Linked DNA regions of Pelodiscus sinensis. The protein of the gene in region 1 interacts with the protein of each later gene in a pairwise test. Links are inferred from orthologs where the notes say so. Each region holds a gene or a part of one and is shown on either strand. Other genes may lie near its edges. The genes, in order: TK1, RBM48, ERG28 and GAPDH.

Evidence for each region.
Region 2: the proteins of TK1 (region 1) and RBM48 interact in a two-hybrid assay, tested with the Homo sapiens proteins (2 studies listed by BioGRID and IntAct). The link is inferred for Pelodiscus sinensis from reciprocal best matches to the Homo sapiens genes TK1 and RBM48.
Region 3: the proteins of TK1 (region 1) and ERG28 interact in a two-hybrid assay, tested with the Homo sapiens proteins (2 studies listed by BioGRID and IntAct). The link is inferred for Pelodiscus sinensis from reciprocal best matches to the Homo sapiens genes TK1 and ERG28.
Region 4: the proteins of TK1 (region 1) and GAPDH interact in a two-hybrid assay, tested with the Homo sapiens proteins (2 studies listed by BioGRID and IntAct). The link is inferred for Pelodiscus sinensis from reciprocal best matches to the Homo sapiens genes TK1 and GAPDH.

The regions. Positions count from the first base shown.
Region 1 is NC_134730.1:29,477,065-29,484,393, forward strand, and holds the start of TK1 (thymidine kinase, cytosolic), read left to right. Parts: upstream 1-3,905; 5' UTR 3,906-3,992; coding exon 3,993-4,052; intron 4,053-6,359; coding exon 6,360-6,391; intron 6,392-6,748; coding exon 6,749-6,862; intron 6,863-7,329. UniProt on the Homo sapiens protein: Cell-cycle-regulated enzyme of importance in nucleotide metabolism. Catalyzes the first enzymatic step in the salvage pathway converting thymidine into thymidine monophosphate.
Region 2 is NC_134712.1:213,672,028-213,679,481, reverse strand, and holds the start of RBM48 (RNA-binding protein 48), read left to right. Parts: upstream 1-4,195; 5' UTR 4,196-4,279; coding exon 4,280-4,390; intron 4,391-6,153; coding exon 6,154-6,344; intron 6,345-6,633; coding exon 6,634-6,779; intron 6,780-7,454. Other genes in the region: peroxisomal ATPase PEX1, read right to left, coding at 1,502-1,648, 3,786-3,908. UniProt on the Homo sapiens protein: As a component of the minor spliceosome, involved in the splicing of U12-type introns in pre-mRNAs.
Region 3 is NC_134714.1:43,678,765-43,686,759, forward strand, and holds the start of ERG28 (ergosterol biosynthetic protein 28 homolog), read left to right. Parts: upstream 1-4,738; 5' UTR 4,739-4,844; exon of another isoform or gene 4,845-5,234; intron 5,235-5,471; exon of another isoform or gene 5,472-5,606; intron 5,607-5,752; exon of another isoform or gene 5,753-5,755; 5' UTR 5,756-5,768; coding exon 5,769-5,904; intron 5,905-6,959; coding exon 6,960-7,050; intron 7,051-7,995. Other genes in the region: tubulin polyglutamylase TTLL5, read right to left, coding at 3,334-3,410.
Region 4 is NC_134711.1:138,811,956-138,819,708, reverse strand, and holds the start of GAPDH (glyceraldehyde-3-phosphate dehydrogenase), read left to right. Parts: upstream 1-4,453; 5' UTR 4,454-4,568; intron 4,569-5,032; exon of another isoform or gene 5,033-5,035; 5' UTR 5,036-5,056; coding exon 5,057-5,079; intron 5,080-5,579; coding exon 5,580-5,679; intron 5,680-5,877; coding exon 5,878-5,984; intron 5,985-6,077; coding exon 6,078-6,168; intron 6,169-6,372; coding exon 6,373-6,488; intron 6,489-6,641; coding exon 6,642-6,723; intron 6,724-7,011; coding exon 7,012-7,163; intron 7,164-7,321; coding exon 7,322-7,400; intron 7,401-7,729; coding exon 7,730-7,753. UniProt on the Homo sapiens protein: Has both glyceraldehyde-3-phosphate dehydrogenase and nitrosylase activities, thereby playing a role in glycolysis and nuclear functions, respectively.

The DNA.
Region 1 (7,329 bases):
ATCATTTGTGCAAGAGGGCCAGTGTAAACAGCACAGAACTGTTTTCCGCAAAAAAGCCCCGATTGCGAAAATGGCGATTGGGGCTTTTTTGCAGAAAACCGCGTCTAGATTGGCCACGGACGCTTTTCCGCAGAAAGTGCATCCTGCCAACCAAGATGTGCTTTTCCGAAAATGCTTTTAACGGAAAACTTTTCCCTTAAAAACATTTTTGGAAAATCCTGCCAGTGTAGACGTAGCCCTGTTGACTCAGCCCAGAATCATGTTTGCTTTTTTTGCAACAGTGTCACACTGTTGACTCATATTTAGCTTGTGGTCCACTATGACCCCTGGACGCCTTTCAGCAGGGCTCCCTCCTAGACGGTCGCTGCCCATCGTGTGTGTGACACGGATTGTTCCTCCCTAAGTGGAGCACTTTGCATGTGTCCTTATTGAACTTCACCCTGTTCCCCTCAGCCCATTTCTCCAGTTTGTCCAGATCATTTTGAATTCTGACCCATCCTCCAAAGCACTCACAACCCCTCCCAGCCTGGGATCATCTGCAAACTTAATAATCCCGCTCTCTGCCACTTTCTAAATCATTGAGGAAGATACTGAGCAGAACCGGACCCGCCACTGATCCCTGCGGAACTCTTCTTGATCTGCCCTCCAGCATGGCAGGAAGGGTCCTGGAACAGCTGGTTATAAACCCCAGTGGTGTCAGCCCCGAAGAAAATAACCCTGGAATGAATCAGTTTCACAGCATTGCCCAAGAGGCTTTTTCTCCTGCAAGGAGGGGCCCTGTAGACAGCTCCTTGGGACAAGAGCCTCTTCCGCAAAATGGTGGCTAATTAGGTATGCAAATGAGGCTCCGGAGATATTCCACCTTAGTCTCATTTGCATACTTCTGGCGCAGGATCGGCCCGTGTAGACCCAGCCTAAGCGAGGTCCTGAGAGCAGCTGGACAAGGACCCAGCTCCCTCCTTACCCCGCCCCCCAGGAGTACCCGAGCGGGCAGCCCCTACCTCGTCTGTCATGTCTTGCCACCGCCCCATGTCGCTGCCCCCGCCCGCCCGCACCGGCTGCGCTCGGCTCGCTGCGTGGCCAGCGCAAAGCAACCCCCTGCGGCCGCCCGCGCGCGGGGTGGGGCCGGCCCGGCCCGGCCCCATTGGCTACTCTGGGGGGGCGGAGGCGGGGGGGGGGGCACCCGGGGGGCACCCTCCAGCAAAGCGCAGGAAGCGCCGCGGGCTCCCCAGCAGCAGGGCGCACAGCTGGGTCCCTCGGCCAGGCAGCGCCCCCAGCCAGGGGAGGGGTCGCATCGTCCCGTCCGCGTCCCCACTACAGCACCTGGTGCAGAAGCTCCCCCCGCCCCCGCCTGACCAGGCCTGACCCCCCCCAACAGCTGCCGTGTAGACAAGAGGGGAGACCCCTGCCCCGGAGTGGCTAAGCGCCAAAATAACAAAGAGCGTGGTCACCCCAAGCTCCTGCAATCCCCGCTCCCCCCCCCGCTTCCACTTGGCTTGGATCAGCCCCCCCTGCAATCCCCGCTCCCCCCCCCGCTTCCACTTGGCTTGGATCAGCCCCCCGTGCAATCCCCGCTCCCCCCCCCCGCTTCCACTTGGCTTGGATCAGCCCCCCCTGCAATCCCCGCTCCCCCCCCCCCCCGCTTCCACTTGGCTTGGATCAGCCCCCCGTGCAATCCCCGCTCCCCCCCCCGCTTCCACTTGGCTTGGATCAGCCCCCCCTGCAATCCCCGCTCCCCCCCCCCCGCTTCCACTTGGCTTGGATCAGCCCCCCGTGCAATCCCCGCTCCCCCCCCCCCGCTTCCACTTGGCTTGGATCAGCCCCCCCTGCAATCCCCGCTCCCCCCCCCCGCTTCCACTTGGCTTGGATCAACCCCCCCTGCAATTCCCGCTCCCCCCCCTTCCACTTGGCTTGGATCAGCCCCCCCTGCAATCCCCGCTCCCCCCCCTTCCACTTGGCTTGGATCAACCCCCCCTGCAATCCCCGCTCCCCCCCCCCCCGCTTCCACTTGGCTTGGATCAACCCCCCCTGCAATCCCCGCTCCCCCCCCCCCGCTTCCACTTGGCTTGGATCAGCCCCCCCTGCAATCCCCGCTCCCCCCCCCTTCCACTTGGCTTGGATTAGCCCCCCTGCAATCCCCGCTCCCCCCCCCCGCTTCCACTTGGCTTGCATCAGCCCCCCCTGCAATCCCCGTTCCCCCCCCCCCGCTTCCACTTGGCTTGAATCAGCCCCCTCTGCAATCCCCGCCCCCCCCCCGCTTCCACTTGGCTTGGATCAGCCCCCCTGCAATCCCCGCTCCCCCCCCTTCCACTTGGCTTGGATCAGCCCCCCCTGCAATCCCCGCTCCCCCCCCCCCCCCCGCTTCCACTTGGCTTGGATCAGCCCCCCCTGCAATCTCCGTTCCCCCCCCCCCCGCTTCCACTTGGCTTGGATCAGCCCCCCCTGCAATCTCCGTTCCCCCCCCCCCCCGCTTCCACTTGGCTTGGATCAGCCCCCTCTGCAATCCCCGCCCCCCCCCGCTTCCACTTGGCTTGGATCAGCCCCCCTGCAATCCCCGCTCCCCCCCCTTCCACTTGGCTTGGATCAGCCCCCCCTGCAATCCCCGCTCCCCCCCCCCCCCCCGCTTCCACTTGGCTTGGATCAGCCCCCCCTGCAATCTCCGTTCCCCCCCCCCCCCGCTTCCACTTGGCTTGGATCAGCCCCCCCTGCAATCCCCGCTCCCCCCCCCCGCTTTCATTTGGCTTGGACCAACCCCCCCCTGCAATCCCCGCTCCCCCCCCCGCTTTCATTTGGCTTGGACCAACCCCCCCCCGGAATCCCCGCTCCCCCCCCCCCGCTTTCATTTGGCTTGGACCAACCCCCCCTGCAATCCCCGCTCCCCCCCCGCTTTCATTTGGCTTGGATCAGCCCCCCCTGCAATCCCCGCTCCCCCCCCCCGCTTCCACTTGGCTTGGATCAGCCCCCCCTGCAATCCCCGCTCCCCCCCCCCCCCGCTTCCACTTGGCTTGGATCAGCCCCCCCTGCAATTCCCCCCCCCCCGCTTCCACTTGGCTTGGATCAGCCCCCCCTGCAATCCCCGCTCCCCCCCCCCCCCCGCTTCCACTTGGCTTGGATCAGCCCCCCCTGCAATCCCCGCTCCCCCCCCCCCGCTTCCACTTGGCTTGGATCAGCCCCCCCTGCAATCCCCGCTCCCCCCCCCCCCCGCTTCCACTTGGCTTGGATCAGCCCCCCCCCTGCAATCTCCGTTCCCTCCCCCCCCCCGCTTCCACTTGGCTTGGATCAGCCCCCCCTGCAATCCCCGCTCCCCCCCCCCCGCTTCCACTTGGCTTGGATCAGCCCCCCCTGCAATCCCCGCTCCCCCCCCCCCGCTTCCACTTGGCTTGGATCAGCCCCCCCCCTGCAATCTCCGTTCCCTCCCCCCCCCCGCTTCCACTTGGCTTGGATCAGCCCCCCTGCAATCCCCGCTCCCCCCCCCCCCCCCCGCTTTCATTTGGCTTGGACCAACCCCCCCTGCAATCCCCGCTCCTCCCCCCCCGCTTCCACTTGGCTTGGATCAGCCCCCCTGCAATCCCCGCTCCCCCCCCCCCCCCCCCGCTTTCATTTGGCTTGGACCAACCCCCCCTGCAATCCCCGCTCCCCCCCCGCTTCCACTTGGCTTGGATCAGCCCCCCCTGCAATCCCCGCTCCCCCCCCCGCTTTCATTTGGCTTGGACCAACCCCCCCCCCGGAATCCCGCCACGGTCTCGCCCCTCTGCACCCGCCCCGGGGCTGCGCGGCTCGGGGCGGGGCGGGGCGAACGCGCTGCGGGCCGGGGGGGCCCTGGGCGATGGGGGGGGGCAGTGACCCCGTGACCGCCCCGCCCCGCATCCGAGGACGTTTCCCGCCAGGCCGCTGATTGGTGGCCCGGGGCGCGCGCGGGACTGGCCCGCTGCTGATTGGCCGGCGCCGCTGGAGGAGCCGAGGCGCGCGGGCCCCTGCGCAGCAGCAGCGGGATGAGCCACCTGAGCGCGCCCGGGCCCGGCTCCCCCGCCAAGGCGCGTGGGCAGATCCAGGTGCGGGGGGGCGGGGGGGTTCGGGATGCCGGGTTCGGGGGGGGCGCAGGCCCGGGGGGGGGTTCGGGATGCCGGGTTCGGGGGGGGGCGCAGGCCCGGGGGGGGGTTCGGGATGCGGGGTTCGGGGGGGGGCGCAGGCCCGGGGGGGGGTTCGGGATGCCGGGTTCGGGGGGGGCGGGCCCGGGGGGGTTCGGGATGCCGGGTTCGGGGGGGGGCGCAGGCCCGGGGGGGGGGTTCGGGATGCCGGGTTCGGGGGGGGCGCAGGCCCGGGGGGGGGTTCGGGATGCCGGGTTCGGGGGGGGGGCGCAGGCCCGGGGGGGGGGTTCGGGATGCCGGGTTCGGGGGGGGCGGGCCCGGGGGGGTTCGGGATGCCGGGTTCGGGGGGGGGCGCAGGCCCGGGGGGGGGTTCGGGATGCCGGGGTTCGGGGGGGCGCAGGCCCGGGGGGGGGGTTCGGGATGCCGGGTTCGGGGGGGGCGCAGGCCCGGGGGGGTTCGGGATGCCGGGGTTCGGGGGGGGCGGGCCCGGGGGGGTTCGGGATGCCGGGTTCGGGGGGGGGTGCAGGCCCGGGGGGGTTCGGGATGCCGGGTTCGGGGGGGCGCAGGCCCGGGGGGGGGGTTCGGGATGCCGGGTTCGGGGGGGGCGCAGGCCCGGGGGGGTTCGGGATGCCGGGGTTCGGGGGGGGCGGGCCCGGGGGGGTTCGGGATGCCGGGTTCGGGGGGGCGCAGGCCCGGGGGGGGGTTCGGGATGCCGGGGTTCGGGGGGGCGCAGGCCCGGGGGGGGGTTCGGGATGCCGGGTTCGGGGGGGGCGCAGGCCCGGGGGGGGGTTCGGGATGCCGGGTTCGGGGGGGGCGCAGGCCCGGGGGGGGGTTCGGGATGCCGGGGTTCGGGGGGGGCGGGCCCGGGGGGGTTCGGGATGCCGGGTTCGGGGGGGCGCAGGCCCGGGGGGGGGTTCGGGATGCCGGGGTTCGGGGGGGCGCAGGCCCGGGGGGGGGTTCGGGATGCCGGGGTTCGGGGGGGGGGTGCAGGCCCGGGGGGGGTTCTGGATGCCGGGGTTCGGGGGGGGGGTGCAGGCCCGGGGGGGGTTCTGGATGCCGGGGTTCGGGGGGGGTGCAGGCCCGGGGGGGGTTCTGGATGCCGGGGTTCGGGGGGGCGCAGGCCCGGGGGGGTTCTGGATGCCGGGGTTCGGGGGGCGGGCCCGGGGGGGGTTCTGGATGCCGGGGTTCGGGGGGGCGCAGGCCCGGGGGGGGTTCTGGATGCCGGGGTTCGGGGGGCGGGCCCGGGGGGGTTCGGGATGCCGGGGTTCGGGGGGGGTGCAGGCCCGGGGGGGTTCGGGATGCCGGGGTTCGGGGGGGCGCAGGCCCGGGGGGGTTCGGGATGCCAGGGTTCGGGGGGGATGCAGGCCCGGGGGGGGGTTCGGGATGCCGGGGTTCGGGGGGGGCGCAAGCCCGGGGGGGGTTCTGGATGCCGGGGTTCGGGGGGGCGCAGGCCCGGGGGGGTTCGGGATGCCGGGGTTTGGGGGGGCGCAGGCCAGGGGGGGTTCGGGATGCCGGGGTTCGGGGGGGGCGGGCCCGGGGGGGTTCGGGATGCCGGGGTTCGGGGGGCGGGGGCAGGCCCGGGGGGGGGGTTCGGGATGCCGGGTTCGGGGGGGGCGGGCCCGGGGGGGTTCGGGATGCCGGGGTTCGGGGGGGCGCAGGCCCGGGGGGGGGTTCGGGATGCCGGGGTTCGGGGGGGCGCAGGCCCGGGGGGGGTTCGGGGGGGCGCAGGCCCGGGGGGGGTTCGGGATGCCGGGGTTCGGGGGGGCGCAGGCCCGGGGGTGGCGTTCGGATGCCGCGGTTCGGGGGGGCGCAGGCCCGGGGGGGTTCGGGATGCCGGGGTTCGGGGGGGGTGAAGGCCCGGGGGGGGTTCGGGATGCCGGGGTTCGGGGGGGCGCAGGCCCGGGGGGGTTCGGGATGCCGGGGTTCGGGGGGGCGCAGGCCCGGGGGGGGTTCGGGATGCCGGGGTTCGGGGGGGCGCAGGCCCGGGGGTGGCGTTCGGATGCCGGGGTTCGGGGGGGCGCAGGTCCGGGGGGGTTCGGGATGCCGGGGTTCGGGGGGGGTGAAGGCCCGGGGGGGGGTTCGGGATGCCGGGGTTCGGGGGGGCGCAGGCCCGGGGGGGTTCGGGATGCCGGGGTTCGGGGGGGCGCAGGCCCGGGGGGGGTTCGGGATGCCGGGGTTCGGGGGGGCGCAGGCCCGGGGGTGGCGTTCGGATGCTGGGGTTCGGGGGGGGCTCACTCAGCCCCGGTCTCAGGTCGTTTCCTGTCTCCCCAGGTGATTTTCGGGCCCATGTTCTCCGGGAAGAGGTAGGGGCTGCGGGGTTCTCGCTGGGGGGTCCCTCGTCGAGTCTCCGGGGGTGGGTCGCGCTGCCCGAGGCTGGGCTGGGGCCCCGGGGCAGGGGCTGGCGCTTAAGCTGCTTTGCTGGGCGTCCGTGCCTAGATCAGCTGCTAGCGGAGCCACAAAGGGCCCTTCGTGCTGCCCACCTGCCTCCCCAGGTCCCTGCTCCCATCACAGGGCTGCCAGCTGGCCTCTGTGTCCTTGGTAGGCCTGCCCCCGCTGCGCTGCCTCCTGCTGGGATGCTGCTTTGCATTGGGGGAATCCTTGGCGGTAATAGCCATTCCTGCCCCTGTGCTAGCCTCATGCTGGGGCTGATTGTCTTGTAGCACGGAGCTCCTGCGCCGGGTCCGCAGATTCCAGATTGCACAGTACAAATGCCTTTTGATAAAGTATGCCAAGGACACGCGCTACGGCACCAATGGGGTCTCCACACACGACAGGTGAGCTCATCCCAGTATCGGGGCGGGTAACTATAGAGAACTCTGCTTACAGTTCACCAGGCCTGCCTTCAGTGGTGCTTGTCTAGGCACTTGGCAGCCCTTCGGCCCTCCACATGCTGCTTTCAGGAGGGGTGTTCTTTACAGCTAGCTGACCCGCAGCCGCAGCAAGTGTAAGTGGCACAGGGTTAGGCCCCTCAGAACAGCTTGAACCCTCTGTGACGTAGTGGGGGTACTTGCTGGGCTGTGGTGACCCCTGCTGTCTGGAGCAAGACCCAGCAGGGAAAGCCTCACTCTGCAAAGGTAATGCCAAACTTGTTGAACCACCCCCCCCCATGGAGAGGAACAAAGGAAGGGGGATGCTGCCCTGGCTGGGGGGCAGGGCTGGAAGAGGGTTAGTGAGTTGTTGGCTGGAAGCATGGAGGAGACAGCCTAGGGAAAGGGGCTGGAGTTTAGGGGCCCAGTCTCCC
Region 2 (7,454 bases), on another chromosome or scaffold:
GGCATCCAACTACAGAGTCAGCAGCCTCAACTGAACTCTCCATCAGCCAGGTAGCTCTGCACTTGCTGAAATTAGGGATGTTAAAACGCGTTTATTTGTGTAAACGTGTAACTGCTGAAATTTTCAATGGATACATGTTTATGGAGGGATGGGAGGAGAAAGGCGGGAGCTGTCCCCCCAGCCATGCTATTGCCTCAGATACAGAGGCAGCAATGTGGGGAGTAGGGCTTAAAAGTCAGCTCCCTGCAAGCAATGGCTCCTGCCTCTCCTCCAGCCTGCACTGATGCCTCTGTGGGAAGCAGCTGTGTGTGTGGGGGGGGTGGGGGGGGGGGGGGCAGGGGCGGGAGAGAAAGAGAGAAGGCTTGAAAGCCGGCTCCCTGCACATACCAACTCCCGACTGCCCCTCCATCCCCACACTACTGCCACTGATACAGTGGGGGTGGGGTCTGCATGTGACCAAGAGGGTTAACTGATGAGCCCAGGCTTATCAGTTAACTGTGTACTTGGATACGCAATCACATTAGGGATGTTAAATATCAAGTGAATTGACTAATCAAATGCTCGATATATTTTGCATCGACTATTTGATTAGTTGATAGGGCACCTCTGCCTTTGAAGTATAGCAACAGCCCTTAAGCTGTTGCTACTCTTCAAAAGCTAAAGTGCTGTGTGGAGCCTGGGGTCAGCTGGGGATTCGCCCGGTGACCCCGGGCTCCATGCAACGCTGTTGCTTTGAAATGCTGCATGCAGCCTGGGGACACCCCAGCTGGCCCAGTCTCCATGCAGCATTGCCGCCTGGAGCCCAGGGTCTGGCCCCACGCTCCACGTGGTGCTGCTGCTTTGAAGTAACCCCTTCTCTTCCTCCCCTTGCTGCTTCTTTCTGAGAGAGGCAGCCAGGTGGGAGGAAGCAATTAGACGACTAGCCTGTAGACTATCCAATAATCATTTATCAGACAGTTGACTAATTGTTCACATTCCTAAATCGCATTCCTAGCAGAAATGCCCCCAACACAGTGGCAAATATCCTCCATACTCCCCCCCCCCCATACCTTGCTTCTGTTTGGGGGAGCATTGGGGGAGCAATGCCTCCCCCAAACTACATCCATGGACATCCCCAGACCAACTACTCCCAGTGCCAAATACCATGCAGTTATGTGACCACACTCTTGCAGCTTCCCTTTGCTTCCCTGTGATTTTGTGCGGGAAAGCTTAGGCATGGGTTAAAGAATCTGAATTCTGTGATGCTCAATAATGCAGAATTCCCCAATTCCCTCAGAAGTAAAACATAGCTGTTGTGGTATGCTTAGGATATAGATGTCCTATAGTGAACACAACAGATACAAAGTGAAAAGAAATAGCAGCATCAATAATATTGCTGCATTCAGTCCCAGTGAGGACAGTGGGGATCTGTCTGCCTGCATGGAACAGGCTGCACAATTGGAACCTAAATGAAAGCATTATTTCTTCCAGAAATTTTGTTTAAAAAAAGTGCATTCCAAACCTGTTCTCCTTCTGCAATGCCAAGTTTCTCTGCTAGGTGTCTGTTAATTTCAGCAATATTTTCACCATGGTGATTACGATGTCTAATTTCCATCCAACTCAAAAATATAGGCTGGTAACCCAAGGAGATTTTCACAGCTTGGCCCTGCTGATTTCAGACAACAAAATAACATTAATAGAAAACAATGTAAATAAAATTATACTCCACAAATACTGCTTGTTCTCATTAACAGTATAGACAAAACCTGACATTTGATTACAAAATGAAGAAATGCGGTTTGTTCCTGGATTTGCCATGCTTTCTTTTAACAAATAATGTAGCATCTTAGCACAAGACAGAAATACACTGTAATACACTGAATCATTGAAAATCTGAATACGACACTCCATGCCGGTGCAAAGATCTGCCTATCTATCTCTGATTTGATCACTGGGGCCTTGCTTTGATGGATACTAGAAACATAAAGTAACGAAGGTAGAGATTTACACACACAAAAGGTTACGAACCCGTTTGGTACCTCAATATATGCATCTTCTTGGCTCTTTATTGTTTTAAAGATTAATTTAGATTCTATCAAGTTATTGTTAAGAGTGTGGAAAATGTAAAAGAAGGGGATATTAGGAGGGAATTGGATGAGTATAGGCAGATTGTGTATCATTAGGAATCAGGGATAACACTCCATGGTACAATTTTTTGGGGGAAGGAGACAAGCAGGGGTTGTATCATGTATATGTATCAAAAATATATGACACTGCATTTGTTTTGTTTCACTGGACAAGTCAACTAGAGTTGAAGACAACTCTACAGAAAGTGGCATATCTTACGTCCCTTTGGCTAGCCGGACAAAGTGAGAGACTGTCTCAGCTTCCGAGGCACCGGTACCCAAAGCCCATCGGTGAGGTCCAAATTGCTGTGCTTTGGAGCAGTCTTAAATACAGTTTTCTTGCCTTGTTTGGCAGTATGGAAATTTCCAGGGGTTATTCATTACTTGCTGATGTAGGGCTCGGCTGTTAGTTATCCATCTGGTTCTGATTTTGTTCTACTTGTTCTTTGGCCTTGTTTAAGTGATCAGTGCATTAGAGTAAACAGGATTGTTTATGCGTTCTTGCCCTTTACCCTCGTTCTTGCTATACTGGCAACAATGCTTATCTTAAATGGCATATGTTCCCAAAAACATGCTTCTGGCTCATCAGATATGGGGGAAGGGGTAAGAATGCAGGCCTCACACCCCTAAACTTACATGTACAAAACTCTTCCGCAATTAACTCCTACACCCTGCAGCAGGTGGAGAGGCTGCTCCAACCAGCCATAGCTGTGCTGTGGGCGGCTGGCTGCTCTCCACACCAATTAACGGGTTAACTGATAAGCATGCCAGTAAAGCAATGCTTATCAGTTAATTGGTTAACTTTTTACACCTCTAGATCAGGGGTCTTGTGAGGCAGTCGATTCAAAGTGAATCACTGGCACTGGGGCCACCATGAAAACTTACTGGCATTGTGAGGACATTGTGTGTTGGTGCTGGTGGTAGTAACGAATTACTGGTATTGCAGAGAGTGTCATGAAGAGATGCTAATACTGGGGGCATCACTAGCATTAGCGGACATAGTGAGGAGATGTTAACATTGGGGGCACTGCAAGCAGCGTGGGTGTAACTGGCATGGAAAGGGAGCAATGCAAAGGGGCTAGTATCAGAGTCATCACTGGCCTCAGGGGTTGTGAGGAGGTGCTGGTAGTTTTGCTAGCATTAGGGGCTGTTGTGAGGAAATGGTGGTATTGGAGGCATTGCTGGCTTTGGAGGCATTACTGGCTGAGAGGGCACTGGTGTGAGGGGAGTGTGATAAAGTGCTGGCATCAGAGGAGTTGCTGTCACTGGCGAGCACTGAGGGGCGCCACTGGCGAGCACTGAGGGGCGCCACTGGCGAGCATGGAGGGGGAGCACGATAAGGAAGTGCTGGTGATGGGATGTCGCTGGCAGTGGGGTAATCGGTGGTATGTGAGGAGATCTGGCAGGGGGTGTCACTGCATCACTGGCATTGGGGGGAGGGAAGCGGCGAGAGAACGGCCTGGCGTTAGGATGGCAGGGGGCGGGGTCTAACGGACCGGGGGAGCGGGACTGAAGCGATGTCACCGTAGCCCTGAGGGGGATGCTGGCGAGGAGGGGTGAAGCCATGAAAGTTAGAGGGGCGCCTCCCAGTCCCTCCCGCATGCTGGTGGGGAGAGGGGCGGGGCTCTGCCACGATCCGCTCCGAGGGTCCCATCGCCCAGCCGGGGCCCGCCCCAGTACCTGCTGCAGGCGAAGGTGGGAGGCCAGCGCAGGCGGCAGGTGCAGGAAGCAGTCCCGGGTGCCGCTGAAGGCGACAGTCACAGCAGCGCCCCCCGCGCCTCCGGGGTAGCCGCTGCCCCACATCGCCCCGGCCGCACCCAGCCGCGGCGCGCCCCGGCAGCATCGAGCGGCCGCTCCGCACTCAGGGAGCGTTACCCCGTGTGGCCAGAGAGAAGGAAGCACGAGCCCTCAGTACTGGCCCCTACCCTCCAGCAACATTGGTACGGCCCGCCACAGGCCAATGAGCGTGCGTGCCCCCTTCGCCCGCTTTCTCTGATTGGCTGTTCTCTCGAGGGATTCTGCAGGTGCTGTCTGGTCAGCCCAAATCTCTCCTGCGCGTCCCCGCCCGCAGCCAATGAGCGCGCCGTAATCGCTCCCCGGTTCTGTGACTGGCTGCTGTTTCGGGGAGCTACTGGTGCTGCCTGGCCGTGGCGCGCGCGGGGGGAGATGGGAAGATGGCGGTGCCTGGCGATGGAGTTGGGGGCTTTTGTAAACACCACGCGCAGCAGGGCGTCTGCGACTCGCGCGCCAAGTACCGGGAGGGGCGCAGGCCCCGCGCAGTGAAGGTGGGAATGTGCGGGGCCTGCACTGGTTAGCCCGGGCTACGGGCCACCTGGGCGAGCATCTGGCTTCAAATGCCCGCGCCCGCCCGCGGGTACGCGCCAGGTTGCGGGCTGCTCTAGCCGCCTCCTGTTCTCCCTGCGGGAGCGTCACCCTGCTCCGAACGCTGCGGCGCCTGGGGCAGAGTTATTCACTCCCTGGCCCAGGCTAAGGCCACCCGGGGGCACGGCACAGGGCGGGGCTCTGGCTGGCTCTTGCTCTCCAGTGGCTGTGGGTGCACGCTCTGTGTTCAGTTTTGTGGCATTGTGATCCAAAGGCCGCAGCCTGTTGGGGTGATAGGATGGTGCAGGATTGCAAATCACCCCATCACACACTCTCACCTACCTGGCGCTGCCTGGAAACTAATGAGGTTTCATTCTGGCAAAAACCGATATAAAGCTTGCCACCAATGAGTTAGGAACCATTTGATTAACATATTTAAAAGTTTCAGAGGGGTAGCTGAGTTAGTCTGTAACAGGAAAAACTTAACAACAAATAGTCTGGTAGCACTTTAAAGACTAACAAAACGTGTAGATGGTATCATGAGCTTTTGTGGGCACAGACCACTTATTCAGATGAGCAGAGTGTTGGAAGTCCAGAACCAAGAATAAATAAAGGAAGGAGTGATGAGGAGGTGTCAATGGTTCTTGATGTCTGTGTAGAATCTGGTGTCACTACTCTTCCTTTCATAGTGCAAACTAATGATTATCAGCCTCTTTTAACTATTTAGTCTTTAAGATGCTAATAGACTATTTGTTGTTTTTTAAATGTTTCCTGTTTCAGACTGGCTCTGCTATCCCTTTGAAAAGTATGTACCCAATGTCCTCTTTTCCTCCCCTCCAATTTTTTTCCTCCCTGCCCGCCCCCATCTCTCCTTGTCTTATTTATTCTTGGTTCTGGACTTCCAACACTCCAGTCATCTGAAGAAGTGGGCCACAAAAGCTCATGATACCATCTACATTTTTGTTAGTGTTTAAAGTGCTACCAGACTATTTGTTGTGTTGTGTTGATTAACATATGTGCGTCTCTCATTACAACAAACATCAGTTTGTTCCGGCCACATTTAACATCCCCCACTCCACACAAACCTGGCCATATTGGGAGTGTTAATCATTAATGTAAGGAATGTTCGATTATGAAACTATAGGAAACATTAATATTGAAAGAAATCTCACATTTCAAAATTCTTCTTGCACTATTTTGGCCTCATTTTAGATGTCTTGTTACATGCTACAGAAAGCCTACCAGCATTCAGTTGAATCATAGAATTGTAGAAAATAAATTGAAAAATGTATTCCCTTATCTTGTCTTGAAAGGTTGCATACAATACATACAAGCTTCAGGGCCCAATCCTGCAAACATGTTCATTGTTGAAAAGCACATGTAATGTACTGGCTAGACTATATAGCATTGCTCTTTACTGGATCAGATCGGAAATAAACCTAACTCAAATGGTAGGCATCTGCTTTTGGATCAGAATGATTGAGTTCTATAACCAGTCACTGATGAGGAAGTCCCTGCTGATCATAGAATTCTTACAGATTTCTGTTTGTTGGGAGTCCCTATAATACTTTCTTTGAAAGATTCCAGGCTTGAAATCAAGGGGGAATGTTTAAAATTTTCTAAAGTTCTAAGAGGTCAATAGAAGAAAAATACTTGAGCTGCTTGAATATAGTATTTAATGTTTTATTGCAAGATAAATGTATGTAAATGTTTTTATTTCTTTTAGGTGTACACTGTCAACTTAGAATCTCGTTATTTGCTAATACAAGGCGTTCCTGCTTTGGGTGTCATGAAGGAATTAGTGCAACAGTTTGCATTATATGGTGCCATTGAGGAGTACAATGCTTTAGATGAGTATCCAGCGGAACAATTTACAGAAGTTTATCTTATCAAATTCCAAAAATTACAGAGTGCAAGGTATTGCAACAGATAACATCTGTATGCTTTCCATTTTCTTCAATCTTTGGTTTCTTAATATAATATATTTTCAAGTAAATTTCTTGAGATTCAGGTAAAATATTTATTCCACGTAAATATGCTTGGTAAATACAAGAATGATGTGTTCTCTGTACAGTGTAGTCATGTAAACGTTTATTACAAACATAGATCAAGAGAATATCAGTGATCCACAGATACGTTTGTTAAAATGTAAGCTATGGTAATATTGGACTAATGTAACATTTTAATGCAATTTTCTTTCATTTAGGATAGCCAAGAGAAAAATGGATGAACGGAGTTTCTTTGGTAGTTTGCTTCATGTGTGTTATGCTCCAGAATTTGAAACAGTCCAAGAAACAAGGGAGAAGTTGCAAGACAGGAGAAAGTATATAGCAAAAGCAACAAGTAATAGAGGTTTGTAATTGGACACCCTTTTGAAAGTTTAAAGTATCGCTTGTGTTGTGGGTATGTTTTAGCAAAGTAAAAATGCCTATTCTTATAGTTAATTGTTCCTATTTACTTTTCTACAAAGTGTGCGTGTCTGTGTTTTCAGTATTTTAAGAGCAGAATGGGAAGTTCTCAGTGTTCAATGGATTCTAAATGATCACAAAAAATATAAAACAAATAGTGAATAGGGGATTAACAAAAGGATAGGTTTTAATGCTTTTGTTTCCCTAGTTTCTTTTCTTGATAATGAGGTGTGTGATCTCATTTATCAGAAACATAAGCATAGCTAAGAAACATGAGGTGAGAGTCTTAGCCCCATTCTGATCCTTGTGCAGGGTAAATGGGCCCTAAGGTCATGGATCCACCAAAGGTAGAATTCCCCCAGTTGCAGGGACTGGTGATGCAGACATAGTGGGGGTGGGATGTGTCAGTGGTGGGGCTGCAGCATGCAGCACTGTGGAGATTCCAGACAGTGGTTCTCAAACTTCTTGGCCCACCCCACTCAACACAGACCTTTCCACAGACTACCAGTCAAATACCCATGACAAAATGAGTGCAGGAGAGGGGAGGAATGGGGTCTGGATGGGAGGTTGAATTCAGGAGTGGGCTGAGGTGAGACATCTGGGAAGTATGGAGGGTGCA
Region 3 (7,995 bases), on another chromosome or scaffold:
ATGCCTAGAGGTGTTTAAGTCTCAGCTTGACAAAGCCCTGGCTGGGTTGATTTAGTTGGGATTGGTCCTGCCTAGAGCAGGGGCCTGTACTTGATGACCTTCCAAGGTCTCTTCCAGCTCTATGGTTCTATGATCACTTAACTGTTTCCACTGTGACTTCCCTAAGGCAGGATATGTTTTGCTATGTGCACCAAGGTATGTTCAAATGTGCACCTACAGTACAAACAAAAACCTAGCTGCGGGCACTCTGCTGGTCAGCTCAGCAGCATTTCAATCTCCCCTGAGCAGCTGCACAAGTGCACAGCTTACAAAGAACACTGACACTTGGAGGGAGTAAGACATTTTCTAGATCTACATGCACCAATCAGAAGAAAGAGATATGCAGAAGGGGGGATGTGTACAGCATGTAAAATTTTTGGCATTATCTGAATATTCTTCAGATGCTTGCCAAGCGATGTGGCTTGTTTTATCTGCCTGACAACCCCATTAGGTGAGGCTGAAGACCAGGGTATGAGCTGAGAAAGCTGCAGCAGATATTGGTTAGTTTGCTAAGCCTGCATCCACAGGTTGTGTGTCAAGGAGAAATATTTAAACTTCCTAATGAAGCCTTACCCCTGGAAGTGTCTACCCTTGGTCACCATCAAACTCATTCCAGAGTACGAGATGACTCCACAAATAGGGATAGGATACAGAGCCTCTCACCTTCAATTCTTGATTTAAATCGTACATACATTGATAGTGGGCTCCAAAGATCTGTTCGGCCAATATGAAGTGTTACTGTAGCTGTGTTGGTTACAGGATATTAAAAGATGAGTGAGGTAGTATCTTTTATTGGACAGACTTCTATTGAAGAAAGATATGCTTTTGAACTTACACACATCTTCTTCAGGTCTGACATGAGGCAGAGCACTGTGTAAGCTCAAAAGTTTGTGTCTAACCTCAACAGAACATTGGTTCAGCCAATATAAAATAAATCAATGGCTTCAAATGCAATTCCCACTGAACAGGTGTCCGCATCACAAAGCCACCAGCACAACTGCTCCTCTCCAACTTCACAATCTCAGGAGAAAGGCCAATAATTGAAAGAACCAGGCAATCTGATTCTCTCCTGGGCAAGGGAAGGCAAACTATGGGTGACACACAAAAGATTCAGTCACCGGGGCAACTTCTTGGAGCAGAGGGCATTATACACAATTCTCTGCTTGTGCATCAGCCAGATCCCTGTGACCTGTACATGTTGCCCCATCCCTGATTTTTCAGTCTTTGAATCCGATTTCTGGGTTCAACGGTCCCTCCTTCAACTGCCTATCAACCCAGTATTAAAATTGGCTAGCACTTCACACTAGTGATAAGTACTTTAAAAAGTCATTCAGTAACATGCTTATCTGTACCATTGCATATTTGTTAAATATTGGTTAACGGATTAGTCAGTTAACCTCATGAATTCTTATTGGTTACTCAACTATTCTATGGTCCCCAGGGGTGGGGCCGGCAGCCAGTGCACTTCAACTCCGCTCCCGAGGAGCCCCCTGCCATTCCATGAGGCAGCAGCACGGGGTGCCTGGCGGGAGCTGGTCCATGAGGGGAGCCAGTTAAAAAAATAGCTCTCCCCTCAGACTGGCTGCCTGCCACCACCCCACACTACTGCGTCATACTCTGTCCAGGGGTGCGGGGGGTGGGGGGGAGCGCAGAGAGGAGGGCTGAGCTCCCGGACACAGCACGAGCCAGAACTGAGCCAGCTGGCTCCTAATACACTTTAAATGCAGAGTTGTAGCAGGGGTCGGTCCCAGACATGGCATGAGCCAGGACTGAGCCGGGCTGCTGGCCAGCCTGCTATAAAATATACTGGCAGGGGGAAATGCGTATAGTGTATAGCATTAACCTATACGCTTTTGCTTATTGGTTAATTTACTACACCATTACATCCCTAATGCAGAGATAAATATCTGTATACCCACTTCCCCACATTTCTAGACAGAGGTGCACAAAGAAGATTCCTGTGTGGGCACCTTCTCAAGGCTGAGATAAAGAAGTAAATGTAAGTAGGTCTACTCTCCACATTGGATAGCAGAGATCATTTTTCCCTGTGGACCATCCAGTGCATCAGATCAAATGTGAACATTCAACAAATATTTACTATCCCTAAATAAAGGCAAGCCCAATCTTTCTTCTTCCCCCCTCCTCAGACCAGACCACTCAGGCCTGAGCTCTTTATCTGGCCCCAGAATCCTCCCACACACCCTTAGATGAATTCAGTTGCTCACCCATTGCCAGTGTACAGCAGCATCAAGTCTTAGCACAAGCTAGCACCTTACTTACGTAAGTGGGAACAGAGCCGAGACAGCAGAAAAGGGGCTTTAGGTTAAGCTCTGCTCTGAGGATTTGCACTGAGGCCACCAGGACTCATACTATCCTCCAAGCAACTGTCCAGATTCATCCCTAGCATGACGTTGGTTACTTGATGCAGACACAGTACCAAACTGCCATCTGACTGAATGACGCCAACCCAGGCCCTCCTATCCCTTCCCTGGGATGTCTGAGAACACGTGGACAACTCAGTTTTATTGGGAGCATTAAGTAGGGGCCCTTTTCATGGTAAACTATGCTGAGAGTCGTCTTTGAGAAACAGAAAAACCTAGCTTGTTAAAGCAGACTTTGCTAATGCAGGAGTAGGACACCATTCTGGAAATGGACACTAGAGCAATAGAGATGGAAGGAGGTGCCACACAAAGCAGGGAGATAGGACTGACAGGAACTCCTAGATGAGTGGACTAACATATCTCCTATTAACCTTAAATAGAACATGAGGGATAAGAGAGTCCAAATGACCTACATGATAGCAGGCTGCTCTGCAATACCTTATGTTTCTATATGCAAAAATGGAAACAAATGCAGACAGTAGAACTAGGAGCTACACATTTCCCTGGATGGTACTCAAGAGAATCCACCCTAGCTGAAAAAGGGATGTCAGGGAGTTGTGAAAGAATGTAGTAATAATAAGGAAGACACCAGGAAGTGAGGAGAGTGAGAAAAATCAGCAGATGAGGCCTCACCCTCTTCCTATCAGCCCTAATCCCAGAGGCTCCCTCTCTGAAGGAAAGTGGGGTTCTTTTAGACTCCTCAAAGCAAAGATTTCTGTACCTACCAACATACTTGTTTATGATTAAAAGCCCCAAACCCACCCCATCTATTTCCTTCCTCAGCAAACAGACCTGAAGGATTACAGGTGAGGAATGAAATGGTCATACCAGATTAGTAAATATCCTCTAAAGACCCCATACATCCCAGGTGAAGCACAGCTACTATTCAGGCATTGTATATGTTTTTACTTACTCTGGCTCTTCTTCCACTTCTTCCTCCTCTGTGGATGAGCCAGTTTCCTCCAAGTCTCGAGCCATCCCAACTGGCATCTCATATAGGAATTTTCATGCAGTCCAGTCACTGTGGTTCTTAGTCCCTTTCACAGAGGATCAGTGGATCTAGCCAATGCAGCTTCCTGTAATAAACATCAGGAATATGAGTATATTACTGTGCAGAATAGCCTAGAGACATATGCCAACTCAGCATAAAGAGAGGAGGCCACAGCACTACCTCAACTGTTTCCAGTACAGTACACAAATCTACATGGGACATTTATCCTGCTACTACAGGGTATAAACTAAACTATTTGGACCAGGAAAAAACTTCCATAACAGTCAGCTTTTGTACTTTCCTCTGAACCATCACTAGTCCAAGACACTTAACTACACAGCAACAAGGAGTCCTGTGGCACCTTACAGACTAACAGATTTATTGGAGCATAAGCTTTCCTCGCTTTTGCAGATTCAGACTAACATGGCTACCCCTCTTTGATACAGTGCCCTGTCTAGTTAAGTAACTTTTCACTCACAGTGATACTTCTTTGGGGCCCTCAGCCCTTATGAACAATCTCCTGCGAGACCCCTCTCGGTCTAAACTGCTCCTGTGCAGGGAGTCCCAGGATAGATTTCTGATCAGCTTCCCAGAAAAGAAAGTTACTTTCCTGTGCACGGGACTCAGAGGCTAGCTGGAAAAGGTCTGCCTGCTTCTGCATTTCTTCCTCAAAGGCTTTCCTAATAGGGCTATGCTTTAGTCAAACACACGCGATGGTGCTCCACACGGGGGTCAGACAGGAGGCTCCGATGATCTCTTCAGGTTTCACCGCCACACGGTCTGGCGCCGACCCAGGCCCTCTGGTCGTTGCCCACGCAGGAGCCTCCGACTCGCTCTACTAGCGCAGCCAGAAGGGACCTGCGGAGGGCCCAGCACCCCCGTGACGCCTCGGGGCAGGGGGGCTGCTTCCCACGGCAGCGCCCCACCCCGCGCCGTCCGCTCCTACTGGGGGGCCGGGCCGGGCTCCAGGGAGACACCTGGCCCCACAGCCGCAAGCCACAGGCCCCGCCGAACGCGGCCGCCTCGGGGCTAGCGAGCCCGGGACGCCACGTTCCCGCCGCGCTGGCGGGCGGCACCCGCAGCTTCCCCCGCCGTAGCTGGCAGCCCCTGGGGCCGCGCCATGCGCTCCCGCCTTCCCCCTGCCTACAGCCTCACCTTCCTGGGGGCATGGGATGGGCTCCGGGCAACGCAGCCCCACCGGCCACTGCTCCCTCCTCCCGACGCTTCCCCGTTACTACAACAACCAACAGGCAGGCAACCGCCTCCAATTCCCTTCTGCGCAGGCGCCAGAGGCATCCCCTCCTCCTAACACGCAGGCGCAAACACCGCGCTGCACGCCTTGCCCGCGCCACTTGCAACTTCCGCCTCCCCCCAAAAGCACGCACAAGGCCCATTTTTACGTCACCGCGCCTCAGGAGCGGAGGCGCCTTATGGTAATATAGAGACTCGTGTAGTGACCTATCAATCTATATGGCGTGTGAGTAGTGATGGGTCTAACAGCCAATCTAAGTAGGGACAGGGCTAACATGGAACCAACCAGTACGCAAACCAGTAAGGGGTGGGGCTGCTGCTGCATAGCGGGTGGGCACAGGGGAGCGGCTGGAGCTGAAGGGCTGGGAGCAGATGTGCAGCGGGGTGAGGACTGGTCGGAGGATGCGGTGCAGGGCTCAGGGAAGATAGTGGGAAGGCTGGAGGGGCTCGGGGAAGGGCGATAAAATGTTCTCTGTTGGGGAAGGGCGATAAAATGGTGATGTCAGTCGAGGGCGGGAGGGAATCGGCGCGAAGACGGGTTGGGGGACTTGTGCGGGAGATGTGGGGCACGGAGGGGGTGGGACCGGAGGAAACGGAGTGGACTTCAGCCCCGGGACAGCGGGGCAGGGAGTGTAAATCTCTCCACTGGCATTAACAAGTAGGTTGCATTAACTTGGGTGTCAGTGCCCAGCTTTGCCATGCAGGGAGCTAGATACACGATCGGTCTTGCAGACGTGAGTGATGTGGTAAGCTGTTGTCTCCAATCGGGGGAGAGAGAAAGGTGGAGAGGATGCACCAAAGATTTCTACTTCGTCATGTTCTGCCCAGGACCCTGAAGATTAGTAACTCCCTACGATGGGGCAGCAGCATCATGTTGTTCCAGGCTGCTGGACATACAGATTTCTACTCTTGCATTATCAGGGGTGTAGTGCAAGCTTTATCTGGTGAGGACTGCTTGCTCTCTGGGGACTTATGGAAAGAGAAAGGGACTTTCTGTGGAAAAGCCGGGTTCCTGGCTTAAGTGGAAAAGTTCTAGGGAGTAGAATCCGTGTGGTTTCCTTTTGTGATGATCTCCTGCTTTTGTCCCCAGAAGCAGGTACCAGAGCATGATGAGCCGTTTTCTGAACGTGTTGCGCAGCTGGCTAGTCATGGTGTCCATCATCGCAATGGGGAACACATTGCAGAGTTTTCGTGACCACAGTTTTCTCTCTGAGAAGCTGTATACAGGCACACCTAGCCTTGGTAAGGAGCCCAAGTTGCCCATCCTGCCCATCAAGAGTCATTACAATAGTAGCTATTCCTCATTTATCAGCATATTGCCCCAAGTCCTGAAGAACTTTTGTCCACATCTCAGAAGTGAGCCACAGTGCAAATCTTAACTTCCTGTATTCCACATGCTAGCCCAAACGCACCAGGGCAACCCTCTTCAGCAGTCAACCTTCGTTTTCTCTGGAGCACGCCTGCCTGTCTCCGCTATACTAAGGATGTGAACGACTAGTTAATACACTAGTTGACTAGTTGCTTCCTCCCACCCTTGCTGCCTCTATCAGAAAGAGGCAGCAAGGTGGAGGAAAGAGGATGGGATGCTTCAAAGCGGCAGCGCCACGTGGAGCCCGGGACCAGACCCTGGGCTCCATGCGGCGCTGCCTCTTTGAAATGCATGCAGTCAGATGCCAGCTGGGGAGTCCCCAGTTGGCCTGGGCTGCACACAGCATTTCAAAGCGGCACTGCTGCATGGAGCCCAGGGTTGGGCTCCGTGCAGCACTGCCACTTTGAAACGTGTGAAGCATGGGACCAGTGGGGGACTGCTTTGAGTCCCCCGCTGGCCCCGTGCTCCCTGCAACGCTTTCTCCCTGCAACGCTTTTCCCTGGGGCTTTGCTACACTTCAAAGGTGGAGGCTCCCTTATCAACTAATCGAATCATCGATGCAATTTGCATCGACAATTCAATTAGCCAGTTAATCTAAAGCTAACATCCCTACACTGTACTGTCTTCTACTGTGCTATTCAGCATCCATAGCAATGCTTCTGATTTAGTGAAGCACTGGAACCAGCCTTGGTTCTTTTTCTCCCTTGAGGGTCTGTGGTTACTGGAAAGGGGAGCACGATTCCTAGCAGCTATTTTCGTACACACTTATCTGCCCTTGAATCATCTAGGAAATCTTGATATGGTGTAACTCTCTACCTGGAAGTAGATTTTATGTTCTTCCTTCGCTCAACCACTTGGTCGAGCCTGTAGAGATGGTAGCTCATGGGATGGAGCATTCATTTACCTCATTTGTTTCTTCTCTGCACAGTGAATGGTCTCCAAGCTCGGACTTTTGGCATCTGGACTCTACTGTCGTCAGTGATTCGCTGCTCCTGTGCTATTGACATTCGCAACAAGACGTATGTAAGGGAAATGCCAGAGAAGGGTGTCCCTTTTTCCCCATAGTGTACACTTATCACTGCTATTACTCTTAAGTCCTCTTATGGGGCAGTTCTGGCCATTATCAATAGCTGCTTCTTGAAATCCCCTTGAGTTCCTCTTGATGTAGGGGTAGACAGTCTTCCCTTGAAATATCATAACAGGTAGCCCCATATGGTGGATTAATCACTGGTCTCTAAGGGTATGTCTACACAACAGGGCTAAACTCGAAATAAGATATGCAACTTGAGCTACGCTAATTGCATAGTTTAAGTCGAAAGAGCTTATTTTGAATTTGGGCGCATGTACACAGCACTTATTTTGAAATAGATCACTCTTCCTCTGACTTCCCTTAATCCTCGTAAAATGAGCCTTAGAGGAGTCGGAGTAAGAAGTCTTCCAACTAGACATTAATTCAACATTGTCAAAATAATTGCTTATGTGTAGATGCGCACTTTGTTATTTTGATATAACATCAATTATTCAGAAATAACAGTGCTGTGTAGATGTACCCTTACTGAGCAGCTCTTGGAGTAAAAAGTTTAATTACTACCCCCTGAATCCTAGAAAGAGGAGTTGCTCACTTGAACCTAGTTCTTAGATCAAGCTGATAATTAGCAGAGCTGACACAGCCTTTTAATCCTGTTTCTGATCCTCATTCTGGAACCCTCAGCCCTGGGGTTTCATTATCCTGGTGATATTGGGTGCATAGCTATGCTCCCATCAGACTGCGTGGAATATGTTTGCCAGTTAAGGATTGCGTGGATCTCATCCCAGATTGTGTTGTGCCCCCAACTATGGGCCTGAAGGGAGCACATGCATGTGGGCTTTCTTGGTGGGGGTCAGCATCAGTTGGTGGTTGTCTTTGTAGCTATAGGGATAATCTACCTTGGATAGACTGCATGTTTATTCCCCTGGTAACTATG
Region 4 (7,753 bases), on another chromosome or scaffold:
TTGGATGCTAGTTCTGGAATGGGACAAAGGAACAAGCATTGAAATCAGGGGAACAGGCAGGTGAGGGGAGTCTTGCAGAGGGGGGATACCAGAAGTGGGATCTGGGATGCATGAAGGTGGGTGAGTCCAAAGGCCAAGGGGCTCATGAAGGACACAAGTGCTGGGGGGAAGGGAGAGGGGGAAAGCAGAGGAATAAGGAATTATGGAGCGAGGCTCTCTTTATGGGCTATGGAGGCGAGAGATGTGAGGCTGAGCCTTGTGCAGGTAGGTCATTTTAAAATTTATTATGGCAAGCTGGCTCGTTTGCTGTGTGACTGGTACATATTTTTTCCCTAGACATAGGAGTTACAGGCACTCAGCCTGTCCTTTGGGACAATTCAAAATGAACTGCTTAGTGTCCTTCAACTCTTTTGTCTTGTGCTCCAAACTGGGGCGGGGGGGGCTGAAACTGGTAAAGATGGCTGAACATAACTGCCCCCTAACAGTGCAGTGCCTGCTTAGTGTAGGCAGAGCCCCCTTCTTGCACAGTTGTGCACCTGTATCAATACCTCTCACTCACCTGCGGTGCAGCTCTGCCAGTGCTCCTCAAGTCTGACCTTAAACAAATCCTCATGGCCTTTGTTCTTCTGTTTGAAGTTCTGAATGTTTTAGTGTTGGTGGTAGTTTTTGTGCATAAGGATATGTTTGTAAATAAACAGATATGTAATTAATTTGCCTATAGAGTTAAATTAGTCCAACACCAGTTGTAATAAAACCTCTGCAACAGCCCTTTTTGGACTGGTATTATTTGTGGAAAAAGAGATATCCTGTAGAAAGAAATGAGGGTGACAGAAACCAGAGAGGTGAAAAAGTGTATTATGTTCCTCAAGCCTCTGAGACAAACACCTCCTCTGCCCTGGAGTCAGACTGGAACTGGACTCTTACCCTCAAAGTAAAAATTCTTCTAGTCCCTGGGAGCCTCCTATCTATTTGTATTCTGCTCTATGAATAAAAGCATGTGTGTTGGTTGGTGTGTTTTTGTCAGCAGGTGGCAGCAGCATCTTAGGCATGGTGCAGCCCCTTGGAGTTAGTTTACTGACCTGATCTTTTATGCTCCAGTTTCCCATTTCAGTCTAGGTGTTCAGTGTGTACTAATCTGGACAATCTCCTGTCATCCTACAGCTAGTGAGAGAGAGTGGCTGAATCCAGACAGGTTCCTTGCTGGGGAAAGACTTTGTCCTGTATTGCCCTAGAACGTCTTTCTCTTTCATTCTCTCCTGTCTGACTGTTTGCCTCAGTAGACACTGTTCTGCTGTGTTCATCTTACCAGCTGTCCCAGCCTGACCTAATACTTATGTAACAGCCATTCAACTTGCATTCCTTTGTCTCCCCTTTGCCAAACTCCACAGCTGAAGCTGCCATCCTACCTCCCCTTTCACGATGGCAGCACAGTCACAGAAAAGCCAGAGCCTTACAGCGTGGTTGCTAATGCACTGGCTGCTGAGCAGGCTTTTCCCTTGGTAGACTCTCATGCCTAGGTCCCTGTTATCTCCTAATGGGGCAGCCTGGGCCCTCTTCCTTCCACTTCCTGTGCTAGACTGTTAGCTTCACAGTCAACTTCTCTCTCCTGCTAACCACAGGAGAAACTGCTTTCCAGGTCCAGAGGCCATGGTACAGAGCCACGGGCAGGCATGTTGTAAACTATGTGTACCACCTGTGTTTTCTACTCCTGGTCGGTCTTGTAGTGGGGAGCAGGACCATTGGTGGGAGTGGTTCTTAGCTACTTCAGTGCTGGTTTTCCCCCAACAAGAGGCACTATAGTGGTGGTTGCTAGGATCAGGGTGTAGCAGTTTGCAGCTGTTTGGTTGGTCTGTCTTCCTTCTGCACAGAGTCCTCAGCAATGTGTGTTTCTCCAGCCAACACAGGCCCTTTTGTTAGTGCAAATGCTCAAGTAGCTCAGGAGAGAACGTCCATCCCCTCCTCTTCCTGACTTCTCTACAACATTTTGCCCAGGATCTGCCCCATGTCCTGGTGGGTCAGAAGTACCAAACTGTCCCCACTCCTCTGGTGTGGTATAGACCATCCCTGTGGCCTTTAATTAAAGGTCATAACTTCAATTCGAGCTAAACTTAGCTCCCTCCCACTTTCCCAGCCCTGGGAATAGCATCTGGATGAGGGGAGTTGGATTACTTCTTAACCAGTTGACCTGTCTCTGCTCCTCTTGGTATCTGCTCTGCTACCCATTCCTATCTGTGCTTTGCTTTCTCCTACTGTCTCCTCTCCCTACGGCGCCTATGCTACTGTCCCCCCAGTCCTGGTAGGCAGGGCCAGGGCCAGGGCGGAGGAAGGGTTTACTCCTTTACTATCCGCACGCATTTCCATAGCTCACCCGGTCTCACGAAAGGGAGACTCCTTAGAGCTCTCCAACGTGTTGTTTGAAACACGCTCCAGCTCTCACCCTTCCCGCGGCTCCAGGGGAGGGGGGATCTGTTCTGCACCAGGGATTTTTGTCCCCGGCTGGGCACTGCCACTCCTAGCCGAGCTGACTGGGGGGCGGGCATCCCAGCTCGGGCAGGGCGTCGCCGGGGCACTGCTGTGAGAAAGCTCATCCTGCAAGGCTCCCACCCGGGGCTGCACGGGTGAGGTGAGGTCGGCCTGTGAGCCAGGCAGGGCCCGGCCCAGGAGCAGCTCCTGCCGCGGGTGCTCCCCCTCCCGCGCACAAGGCCCCGAGCCACGGAAACGCCCTGTCCCCCCCCGCGAGCGGGCGAGTCAGGTGGTAGGCAGGATGTCCGCAGTCACGTCCCGCGGGTAGCAGCCTCCCTGCCTTACTGAATGTTCCTCACGCTGGGGAGCGCGGCCTGCTGGAGCCGGGCCCGAGGGCGGGACGCCAGGCCGGCCAGCGCCTGGGAACCGCGCTCCCAGGCTGAGCACGTCGGGCCGGGGCAAGGCGGGGGCGCCGAGCCAGAGAAAGGCCCAGGGAGCTGTGGCGGGGGGCGGGGCGGCAGCGCCGGGCCGGGCCGAGGGACAGGGGCCCGCAGGGTGCGGATCCTCCCAGGCTCGCCCCGGCGGTGCCAGGCTGCTGCGGGGGCGGCTCGGGGAAGTTGTTCCCGCAGGCGCCGGTGCAGCGACCGAAACACTTAACTTCTCAGGATTTGTGACTTTGGGTGCACTGAGCCTGCGCACCCGAACTGAGCAAACTCAGAGATTTTTCTACCCAAAAACACAGTTTCTCTGAATTTGCAAGCAGCCAGCAAAGGGAGCAAGTCCTGAGCAGTTGCACCGAATGTCATGTGTGCGTGACAGAAACTGTGACGGTCACAAAAACGGAGCGGTTTCACTTTTTGCCTATACACCGGCCCGAGCCCCTTCTTGCTCAGCCCACGTGACAATTGTGCCCCGTTCCTTCCGCGCCCGGGGGCTTGTGCAACTCCCGCCCAGCCCCCACCGCAGAGCCTGTGGCCAGGTTACCGTACTGTGTGTGGTAGAGGCGCACTCGCTCTCCTGCCAGTCTTCCGAGCGCGAGCTAGAATGAAGCGCCAGGTGTAACTCAGGCTGAGTGGAGACAGCTCGCCTGCTCCCACCGGGGAAGAGCCCTGGGGCCCATCCCCCATGCACGGCCCTTTGAGGGGGAGGGGCTTCCAGACCCCTCGTCCTCTCTCTGGGGAAGACCGACGGAGCCCCTGAAGACAGGCGCCCCCATCGAGGGATCCCGCAGACACGTGTGCGCGTCCCCTCCGGCCCCCTCCTCGCCACTGTGCTCCGATTGCTGTGCGAGTCCTTCCCCTGCCCACCGCACAGCGGCGGGGCTCCGGCAGGGAGTTCACTGGAGCCAACCAACCGAAAGAATAAACCCCACTGAGAAAGGGGATAATCGCCCGCCCCACCGGTCTGCGCTAACCCTTCAGGGCCGGGCTGTACTCTCCTGCTCTTCCAGTCCTGGCCTTCTCACGCACCTTATCTACCCTCCACTTGTAATCTGCTCCCCTGCTGCGCTTTCAACTCACCCCTCCCCATACCCAGGCGCGCAGGGGACGCCGCTTAGTGCCCCTGGCATTACAATAGCATCTAAGCCGTGGGCCCTTGTGCTGGGGCCCTAACATCCCCACAGTTCCCTGTCCCAGCCACCCCTGCCTCACAAGGCACTTCAAGCTTCGATGGCTGGGCCTGTGCCCATCTGAGTTTCTGGTTACAGAAAAGAGGTAGCGGGCGAAGCCCAGTGCATGCCTGGTCTCACCGCCTTGCACGGGAAGCTACATTGGATTTCCCCTCTGCACAGCAAGTGGGCGCATCGGAGGGATCTGTACATGTGACTCGCTTGTGTGGGGCCTGCAAGAGGGAGGGGGAGCCCCCTGAGTCTCCTTTGTAAGGCGAGGGAGTGCGAGAGAAGGGCCAAAAATGGGCGTGGGAAGAGGAGGCGCGTAACCCCTCAGCATTAGGGCTGCACGTAGCCCTCCGCCTCTGATTTGCCGCTTGCTCGAAAGGCTGGGCCCAGCGATTACCATACGGAAATCTATAAAGGTCGGGGCAGCCAGAGTCCCTCCCTTCACCTTCCCCCTACTGCAGGCGCGTGGCTGAGAGGCAGGGCCCAGGTAAGGGCTCTCAGCCGCAGCGGGGAGTCGGCACTTGGCCGCGCCGGGGTGGCTCAGGCCGGAGCGCGAGTCTCGGGATACTGGTGGGAGTGGGGCGCGGGCTGCATCTCGCCGCCCTACTGGGCAAGGAGGCCGCGGGGGGCCGGGCATGTGGGGCTCTGCGTCCGGAGTCTCTTTGTGCTCCGGCGGGGCGAGCGAGGTGGAGGCTGCGGGGAGGTTGCGCTGGGGGGCGCGGGGCTGAGGCTGCCGGTGCTCGGCGACGCAAGCCCTGGGGAGAAGGAGGCGACAAAGCCCTGGGGGGCGGGCGCTGGCCGGGGAGGAAGTGGCCTGGAGGCTCCGGCGGGCGCTGGGTCCCGCCCGTCCAGCCGCACGGGGGGCGGGGCGGGCCCGGCGGCTCAAGGCCCTCGGGCCAGTTCTCTGAAGCCGGGGGCGGTGCCGCTGCCGTCTGACCCCTGCTCTCTCCGCAGGCGCATCCCGGCAGAAGCGCGATGGTGAAGATCGGAGTGAACGGGTGAGCGGCGGGGGGGGCCGGCCACGGGGGGGCGCCAAGGGCGTGGCAAGGGCACCGGGCTGGGCAGCGCCGGCGGGCGGCTGAGTCATTTCTCCCGCCGCTGCCGGGGGGGGGGGGGGGCGAGTCACCCCGAGCGGGAAGCGCCGGGCGGCCGCATGCGGCCCGGGACGGGCGCCGGGGTATCGCGTGTCCCGCCGGGCCCGGGGAATGTGACCTTCTCCTGCCGCGCCGTAACCGGACCCGGGCCGCGGGGTAAATTTAGCGCCCGGTCGGCGGGGGCGGAGCAAGCAGCGGGGGGCGCGGGGCTCCAGGCGCCGCTGTGTGCTGCCCGGCTCCCGGCCCCTGCTGCCCCGGCTGGCTGGGTGGGAGGAGTGTAGGGCGGGGGCCTCCTTTGCATCGGGGCAGCCGCTGGGGCTAAAGCCCAGTCTGAGTGGCCAGCACCCATCGGCACAGGGCTCCCCTGCTCTGCCTGAGGCTCGCCTCTTCTCTGCCTTGCCTAGATTTGGCCGCATCGGCCGCCTGGTCACCAGAGCTGCCTTCACCTGTGACAAAGTCCAGATTGTAGCAATCAATGACCCATTCATTGACCTCAACTACATGGTGAGTGGAACCCTGGTCTATAACTTGGAGCATTCTGGGGATGGCCTGGGAATGTGGCTATCAGTGATACCATTTCCCTGTGAACCCTGCCAGTGCCCATGGCTACACATTGGGATTGAGGGGCCCAGAGTTAATGCCTGGGCTGTGGGAGTTGAAACACAATGCAGCCAGCACTCAACTTCAGTCTGTTACTCCTAGGTTTACATGTTCAAATATGACTCCACGCATGGTCGCTTTCATGGCACTGTCAAGGCTGAGAATGGAAAACTTGTGATTAATGGACAGGCAATTACCATTTTCCAGGAGTGAGTATGACTCTTCCTCCCCTTTCCCTTGGAGCTAGGGGACAGGGCATTTGACAGCCTTGCAGTTTCTAAATACTCTGGTGTCGTCCTCAGGCGTGATCCTGCTAACATCAAGTGGGGAGATGCTGGAGCAGAGTATGTTGTAGAATCCACTGGAGTCTTCACCACCACAGAGAAGGCCAGCGTGAGTGATGGGTTACATCTGGCTTGGAAGTGGGAAGGAAAGGGTGTAGGGATGAGACTCTTGGCTGCATGTGGAAGTGGGTGTGGACAGAGTTCTCTCTGCCCTGGGGCTGTATTGCAGTGCGATTATTTGGGGAGGTGTCCTAAATGTGCTGCTGTATTGGAGCGATATAGGATTTTGTTAATGTTGGTCTGTCTCCCTCAGGCTCACCTGAAGGGGGGTGCTAAGCGTGTCGTCATTTCTGCCCCCTCAGCCGATGCACCCATGTTTGTGATGGGCGTCAACCATGAGAAATACGACAATTCTCTGAAAGTTGTCAGGTGAGGAGGGGGACAGTTTGCAGGAGTCTTCTCAGGGTTGAACCTGAGGTGCATAGCTGACTATTGCCCTCTCTTGTGAGTTGTGGGGAGGGAGCTGAGAGGTGAGCCCTGACTAACTGCCTCTGGCTAATGTGTCCCTCTTGACTCTTCCAGCAATGCCTCCTGCACCACCAATTGCCTGGCTCCTTTGGCCAAGGTCATCCATGACAACTATGGCATCGTGGAAGGTCTCATGGTAGGTAATCTGGAGGCGCAAAAACCCACACCAGCTCTGTCAGTGGGACAGAACCATGGAGCTTTTGGGGGGGAGGGGTGTCTCTGCACACTCAAGCTGGGACTCCTCAACCCACAGTTTTGGGTGTAGAGGAAGGAGGATTGGGAACCCACAGAGCAGGAGTGTCTCCCTATACTGCCTGGACTAGAGGAAAGTTGAGGAAGGCTGGGGGAGGAATGCTCTAGGTCAGCAGGGTGAGGCTCTAGAGAAATTCAATTAACCCTTCCCCCTTTTTCCCCCAACTTCCAGACCACTGTCCATGCCATCACAGCCACGCAGAAGACTGTGGATGGCCCCTCTGGGAAGTTATGGCGAGATGGCAGAGGTGCTGCCCAGAACATCATTCCAGCATCCACTGGAGCTGCTAAGGCTGTGGGCAAGGTCATTCCTGAGCTGAACGGGTGAGTGTCAGTTCCTTCTCCCAGTGCCCCAAAGCAGGGGATTCATCAGAAGGGGTAGTGAACCTTCAGCTGGCCGGTCTTGCCCTTTCCTCAGCAGGATGTGCAGAAACCCTGTTTGGGGGCAAGCAGGAGTCTATTCTGATCTGTTTCCCTCACAGGAAACTCACCGGAATGGCTTTCCGTGTTCCAACTCCCAATGTGTCTGTTGTGGACCTGACTTGCCGCCTGCAGAAACCAGTGAGTATCACAAAAAGGGACTTGGAGCAACTTCCCTTTACCCCTAAGTTTCTATCCATTCCTCAACGTGTGGGACTGGGTGCAGCTGTTCTGAAGCCCCCATTCCATTTAGAACTGTTGTTGTTGTTTCTTGTGATTTAAGAGATTGTGCAAGGGGTACAGTCAGGCCTGTGGGGAGCTGCCCCTGTCTGGTATAGTACCAGACATAACTGGGTCCTAACTATACTCTTAGCAGTGCAGTCTCAAAGCTGGCAGCAACCTTCCCTGGGGAGCAGCTGCCATGCCATGGGGTCTGGGATGTTCTGACTTCCTGTGTCTCTCTCCCTCAGGCCAAGTATGACGACATTAAGAAG